Linked DNA regions of Ovis aries. The protein of the gene in region 2 purifies or fractionates together with the protein of the main gene of each other region. This does not show direct contact. Links are inferred from orthologs where the notes say so. Each region holds a gene or a part of one and is shown on either strand. Other genes may lie near its edges. The genes, in order: HNRNPU and TAF15.

Region 1 (4,270 bases), on a different chromosome or scaffold from region 2:
CACTACATTGACTATATGTAAACAGTATGTAGTAAAGAGACTTACATTTACACTACCATACACATCTAAATAAAATAGGTATTCCAAAACAGGAGAATCTAAGATTCAACTCCTTAGATCTACAGGACAGGATGACACCTTACCTCTAGGCAATTATTTCTACCCTTTTTTCTGTTTATCACAAAATTGTACTTTCTGATCAAAATACTAAATCAATGATTTTGTATGTGAGAAAAATGAGGAATCTGACTGCCAAGGCCCATTTAGAGGTTTGCAATACTTCCTCATACTCAATTGCAACCCAACTGGGTAAAGTAGCAGTATTTACAGCGCTGCCATTGATACCATTCGCTGCTGAAGAAAGCTAGTGGCCCAGTGATAGCCCACTGCTGCTGCCCCAGGTCTTTGGAAGAAACCAACTTAGGTTAAAGCAGCAGCTACTGAACTGGAATTGAGAACAAAAGAGCAGTTATTGAGAAAGTAATATTACAATCTTTCAGAATAGGGAATATAGTGATGTGCTAATGGGAAAGTCATTAATAAATACTTAACTAGCCCAAGTAGCTCACTTAACATAATTCCACAAAAAAAAAAAAAAAAACCACATTACTTTTACTGTAGACCCTACAGGGAGAAATTATAGGTAGTCTTACAAGTTTCCATTAGCTACACAGTCAAATATTGGCATTCATTTCACATTCCTACAAATGAGAATTTTAATATCATACCAAAAAATTATCAAATTGCTGGAGCCTCTAAAACTATCAATATAACTGCTGGACTAAATTAAGTGACCAGAATCTGAATAAAAGCCACCATCTTTCCAATTTTAAAAGAACCCTTTATACGCATTAAGTTTTCTAACATTTTGTAACCAAAAACCATATTTGATAACTAAGGGAGGAACGGGGAAGAAACAGCTTCACTTACAAGTATCAAGACAAACCACTGTGTCGTCGAAGTGTTCATCTTCTTCTTCAACAGGTGGCTGAGGAGATTTGGCTCTGAAAAGACAGAATTGTCTCCTGATACAACCTTCCCCAAAGAATAATGAACAGGTGCCAAAACTAGGTTAGCATCTCTACCTGCTATACTTGTTCTCTTCAATGTACTCAAAATAGCCACGGCCATGATCTTCTCGAGGTCTTTTAACACCTCTCTTTTTATCTCCGCCTTTCTGTTCTGTTTTGCCGTCTCCTACAACACATGACACCGCTGTATAAGACACCACGGCACGCCGCCACAACAAGCAGAAAACCCCTTTCTTGTCGGAGGTTCCCTAAAACTCGACTTGTACATTGTGATTTCAATCAACGACTCAACTGCGAATTCAAACAACAATCTCCTTGGAATCGGCTTGGATTCAGTGACGCAGTCTAAGGACATTGCTAATTTTGCCAGTTCACTCGAATATTCCAGAAAGCACATGAAAATTTAGCGCGGCCCAGGCCCGGAGCCCACGTGTACCCCAGAGAGTGTTCAGGAAAGGGGGAGGGGCCGAAGCGCCCCGCTCGCCCTCCCCTCCCCCCAGCCGGGCCCGCGCTCCCCGCGGCCGCATTGTACTGCTCGCCGCGGGCGCCGCCCGACCCCGCCCCGCCCGCCGGAAGTGACGTCACCCGAGCCCGGCGCGCCTTGCACAATACCGCGGCCCGGAGCCGCCACGGCGCGCCGCCGGGGCCCCGGGCCTCCCCTCCCCCCGAGACATGTGCCCGCACCGCGCGCACGCAGCGCGACGGCGCCTCCGCGGCTCCTCCCCCTCCAGCGGCAGCTGCAGCCTCCCCCCTCCCCACCCCGGCTCTCCAGGCACATAATGGAGGCGCCGCCACCGCCGTCACACACCGAGCCGAGGCCTCACGCCTAACCCGGGATTCCCCGCGCCCCGCCCGCCCCCCTCCAGCAGTCCCCAGCCCCCGAGGGTGCTCCCTCCCGCGGCGGGTTTCCTCCCTCCCCCCCTGCGGGGCTCCGGCAGGCCTGGGCACGGTCCCCACCCCGCGCGGGCCTCCCGCCGCGCGCAACCAACCACGCAGCACTCACCCGCCGCCGGAGCCCCGGGGCGACCGCCGCCTCCGCCGCCTTCCGCCTTCTTCTTACCTCCCGCCTGCTGCTGGCCCTGCCTCGCCCCGGGCGGCGCCACCGTCACCGCGAACAGCGACGTGGGGCCGCTGCTCTTCCCCGCGGCCTCCTTGGCGGCCCCGCGCTGCTGCTGGGGTTGTTGCTGCGGCGCCGCCGGCGGTTGAGGCTGCTGCTCCCCGTGCCCGTTCTCGTCGCCCGCGCCTTCCTCCTCTTCGCCGAGCTCATCCTCCCCTTCCTGGAAGCCCTGGTCGTCGCCGTTCTCGTCCTCCGAGGCGGCCTCTTCCTCCTCCATCGGGCCCGAGTCGGCCGCCCCCGCGGCGCCGTTCTCCTCGCCGAGCTCCATCTGGTCGCCATCCAAGGCGGCGATCCCTTCCTCCTCCTCCTCCTCTTCCTCCTCGTCGTCGTCGCCGCCGGCCGCGGCCTCCTGCTCGAGGCCTGCTCCCGAGCGCCCGGCGGAATCCCCGCCCAGGTCTAGGCTGCCGTTCCCGGGCTCCATGGCGGGGCGGCCCCCGGCCTCCTCGTCGTCCAGCGCGGCCTGGAGACGCTCCATGAGCTCGGCCTTGAGGCCCTTGTCGGACAGGCGCCGCTTCTTGAGCTCCTCCTTCAGCTCCGACACCTTCAGCTTTTTCACATTAACAGGCGAGGAACTCATGGTGAGGCCCCGATTCACCGCTAGGCGCTGGCTCAAACTCGGCTCCGCTCACTCGGCCACTGGCGGCGGCTGCGGCTGCTCCTCGGCCCGGGCGGCGGCTGCGGCTGCGGCTGGAGGTGGGTTCGTGCTGCAGAGCGGATCCGCCTGGTGTCGAACGGCGCCAATTCCTTTCACCGAGTTCGCGAGGGAGACGCGGAGACTCGCCTGGCGCGAGCGAGCACGCAACGTCCTCTCGCAGGGGCGGCACCGCGCACGTAATATAGCCGCCCCGCCTCTGCGCCGGCAGAGCGCCCGCGCTCGCCCCACCCCGCCCCGCCCGAGCGGCGGGCCGGGAGCGCGGCGCCGCGCACTGCGCTTCCAATTGGGGCCCAGCTAATGGAGGAGGTGGAAACCGCCTTCAGTTAAACCGACCCGCTGCAGCCTCTATTGGCCTTTCCAGCCCTTTGGTGGCAATATTCGTTTATGTTCTTTGCCTTCCGGCCAGGAGGCTGCTTCTACCCAAATGCTTTCATCTTCAACTTGGTAATTTCAGCTGGAATCCGCCACCTCTTCTTCCATTTTAGATTTATCTTATCTGTTTCTCCAGCTATTTGCTTAGAACCCTTAAAATTTTGATTTGATTTGTACAAGCTGACAGTCATTATACGCAGGAGATTTTCTTCTGCTTAATAATTGGTTTAATTTTCCTGAATCCTAACTTGGGAGTTGAATTTTAGACTCAGGAAGGGCCTTTCTTTTGTCTCTCCCATGACCTCTGATGCAGGGTTTGGGAGATCATGCTTATTTTTGAAGAGTGGCCTCCACTCCATACTGCAAAGCGGACTTTACAGGCCTTGTTATGGTACTAATGGCCAAAGAAGTTAGCCTCAGAATTGCATTTCTGTGTTTTCTTTACATCTACCAAGAAGACAGACCTCCTGTAAGGTTTATTCTGTCCAATTTAGGACCTGGTCATGCAGTTATGAAGTCCCCTTAACTAACAATGAGGATAAGACCCCAGCTAGGTCACACACTTTGATTCTATTCCTGTGGATATACTTTTGACAAAATTATGCCAAAGCTCTAATAAAAGCTAATGAAAAAAAAAAAGGCTGTGATTTTGTGAAAAGAAAAATATCACTCTCAAAGAAAAATGTGATTTTGGTGTGTCTTAGAAGTTTAATTTTTCCTTTTACTAAATTAAGAGGTGTGTTAATGTTCTTCCAGTTTTCCAGAATTTAGATATGTGATAGACATGAATGTCTCAAACCCCAGAGAATCTGCACAGTGGCTAGCCAGTGGTCTAGTCTAGTCTAAGCTCAACTATATTGCTTCGTGCTTTAGCTGGCACAAGGCTGTCCCAATTTTAATTCAAAATTTAGAAAAATACACACTTAACTTTCTCCCATAGTACAGTTTAATAAATTTTATTTTTTAAGTTCTCTTCAATGGCTTTTAAGAATCTTGTATTTTACAGTGCTGTCATAGATGAAGATGAAATATTAACATTTGTGAAATGATTTGAGTTGAAATTAATGGATTATGTATAGTACTAGTAATTCTCAG
Region 2 (3,204 bases):
ATGCCGTTAAGGCTGACCCACCTCCTCCTGAGGGACGAGAGTCCTCTGGTCTGGGCTCATTGCACTGATTACAAGAATTCCTTCGAGCAAAGTTCATATTTCCACATGACCTAAGAAAGAAAGAAAATAAAATGCTCAACAGTTTCCAATGGATTCAGAACCCCCTCCTGCACCTTGCAAATCCAATCCCAACCCCTACATCCACCAAAGTAAATAGGATACTTACGGATTAGGGCAAACCCAGTCCCCACTTTTGGGGTCTCCACCTCTCCCCTGAAAGCCTCCACGACCTCTATATCCTCCACGGCCTGGGATAAGTAAGGAGGAGGGAAGAATCAGTAGCAGATATTAACAAAGCAGAGGAAAAGCATCAGGTGAAAGAACTAAGTGTTCATCAATAACTGGGCAGCTCCCCCCAGATTAACCTCTTATGGAAGAACTCCATGATTCTTTGATTTGGGGCTTTACTTATTCAGTCAATGCAGTAAATATGGAAGAAGCTCCAAGGTGCACATTATAGTTCAAATAATGCACTAAGAAACTTCTTTCTACAGTACCCTCCTCAGTTTGAGAATCTCAGTGATAAAGATTAGGTGAGATGACATATTCCAAATTTAAGAAATTAAAACACAACAGAAATAAACAAGTTGGCACTAACTGTATCAGGGAACTCACATTGGGCCAGATTAACTACCAAATTAGGTATCAGTTAAACAACTGCCTCCTAATTTCCAACTGAAACAAACTGCATTATATAGCTTTCCAAAGGGATTTCTAGAACCTTTTTCCATCCTTTCTTAGTTATGACACTTTATTTACCTAATCTTCTATTCTGTATCTCACTTTAAGACAGAAAATCTAAACCCTCTGTGTAATACCCAAGCCTGTGAACAAGAATCTTACCTCGTCGCCCACCTCCACTTCCACCTCCTCTCATGAATTCAGGTCTTCTGGTGGCAAAGGACACCTTAATGATATTGCCGTGGAATTCTTTTCCTAAAGGAAAAAAATGAAAATAGTTTTGAAGAAATGCTACTCCACATTTCCACCTCTTAACAAAATATAAAACTGCCTCGGAAATGTTTAATTTCAGAGAAATGCCTCACATGTTCTCACAGAAATTCACACAGCAACGCTCAAGAGTCAAGGTGACTATCCTAGAACATGACACAATCTACTGCATAGGACAGATCTGCCCCTGGGAGACAGCCATTCCTTACTGAGCAAAAAAGCTCACGTCTAGCCATTTTCACCTGAAAGCCAATGAACGTAGTATGCTACCATTCCTTTTTTTAAGGGAATGAGTGTGTATGCGTGTGTGCGCACGTGCGTGCGTGCATATGCACACATATGCCTATTTACACACTGCCTATTGTTGCTTAACTCTCAGTAGGTGAAAAGCTAGAAAGGAAGCTCATTTTTTACTATATACTGTTGGTACCACGTCTGAAGTAGTATCTTAAAAAATAATGTGTGCATTTGTGATTATACACATGTACATATATACATATTCTGCTGTCCCAGGGCCTTGGAGACAAAAATTAGCCTTTTCACTCTATATATTAAACAAGAGAACAGACATATCAGAAAAAGGTGCCCAAGGAATTCATAAAATAGTTATAAATCTAGGAGCCTTAGCCCTCTCAGCAAACTCTAACTGCTATGACTGGCAACCTTCCACAGTTGTCAAATGGTATAGCAAGCTCTTTGACATAGGAAACAAACCATGGATAAATATTTTAAAAGCTCTGCAAAGACCTGGTAATTAAGATCTGAACTATGGAGTTTCTGTTAAGAGGCTCATTTGCCCTATGAGGGAAAGACAGAGAAAGTGTTCTAACATATTATAAGCTAAATAGTTGTATGAGTCACAGAAACTACTAAACAAACACATAGTGAGGGAGGATGGACCTGGCCTTTCAAGGGCGAGGGGATAAGATCTGCTTAGAGCAAAAAATCAAAATGCAACTATGCATTGGAAGACAGGTGCAATAATCTTGGAACTGCAAGAAACCACATGTGCCTCTCAATCAGGCGCAATTTACTTCTTCAGAGAGAATGCAGCCCGACTGCCTGAGTTTGAGCCCTAACTCTACACTTCTTCTGTGGTCCTGGAAATTAACTTATCTTCTCTGTGCCCGAGTTTCATCATCTGTAAGATGGTAATAAAAGCAATAAAAAAAAAAGTAACAGTTACTATGAAGATCTGAGTTAATGCACATACAGTTCTTAGAACTATGCCTAGCTCATAAACTACAGTAAACACGCAGTGTTATTCTCCTGCACTGGCAGGTGGGTTCTTCACCACTAGTGCCACCTGGGAAGCCCCATTACAAGGTACAACAAAAACAATAAATTTACAACATGGGGAAATGACTATAAGACATCAAGGAAATAAAAGCATGAGACAAAATTACTTTTGGAGTAGAATGATAAAACTATTTTAAAAATACATTTTAAAGAGCTGGAAGAAACACCAGTAGTTTTCTCTGTGTAGACTATGGAAGCTTTACTCCTTTCTTCTACTTTTTAATATTTTCTTATTTTCAGGGGAAAAAAGTCTTATTGTACTAGTCTTCTACTACATATCAACATTGCATTTGAAGGGAAATTAACCTAAATTTTAAAAGAATATAGTCAACCAGGCCAACCCTTTACATTTCTATGAGGGTGGCCTGAAGCACAAAGGATGACATTAGGAAATATTTTAGACAAAGAAACAGTTCATCTCACTTCTAAAGGTATACAAGAATTCTGGCCTGTATTCTCAATAGGATATTTAAAAAAGTAAAGAGCAAGATAATCACTGTCTACCAGAACATATTTTGACTTCTAGACCAGAAAACATTTATCAAAACCACACACTGAAAGTATATGAATGAGGTATACCATCAAACCAGTCAATGGCTGCCTTAGCTGAAGGAGGGTCATCAAACGATACTGTTGCCTCCCCTTTTGGCTTTCCTGTGTCCTTGTCTGTGTATAGATTTATCATTGGTTTTCCAGTCTTTTTATTTGTCTGAGGGACGAACAAGCTGGTGTTAGTATTTTAAGAAAAAGTGATGAACCACTCAGATAATTAAAATTCCTTATTTTTTAAAGGAATCCACATATCCATACTATAAATACTACCAACATAAAAATGAAGTTATCTGTAGGTTCTGAAAAGGAAAATTCTAAAATACATTAAGTGAAAAGCAAACT

The links.
Region 1: the proteins of TAF15 (region 2) and HNRNPU purify together in Homo sapiens (affinity purification with mass spectrometry; 3 studies listed by BioGRID, with this or other methods). This does not show direct contact. The link is inferred for Ovis aries from reciprocal best matches to the Homo sapiens genes TAF15 and HNRNPU.

What each region holds. Positions count from the first base shown.
Region 1 is NC_056065.1:31,686,898-31,691,167, reverse strand, and holds the start of HNRNPU (heterogeneous nuclear ribonucleoprotein U), read right to left. Parts: upstream 2,960-4,270; 5' UTR 2,726-2,959; coding exon 2,035-2,725; intron 1,198-2,034; coding exon 1,086-1,197; intron 1,005-1,085; coding exon 931-1,004; intron 1-930. UniProt on the Homo sapiens protein: DNA- and RNA-binding protein involved in several cellular processes such as nuclear chromatin organization, telomere-length regulation, transcription, mRNA alternative splicing and stability, Xist-mediated transcriptional silencing and mitotic cell progression.
Region 2 is NC_056064.1:14,274,555-14,277,758, forward strand, and holds part of TAF15 (TATA-binding protein-associated factor 2N), read right to left. Parts: intron 3,020-3,204; coding exon 2,890-3,019; intron 997-2,889; coding exon 904-996; intron 309-903; coding exon 227-308; intron 111-226; coding exon 1-110. UniProt on the Homo sapiens protein: RNA and ssDNA-binding protein that may play specific roles during transcription initiation at distinct promoters. Binds to ssRNA containing the consensus sequence 5'-AGGUAA-3'. Can enter the preinitiation complex together with the RNA polymerase II (Pol II).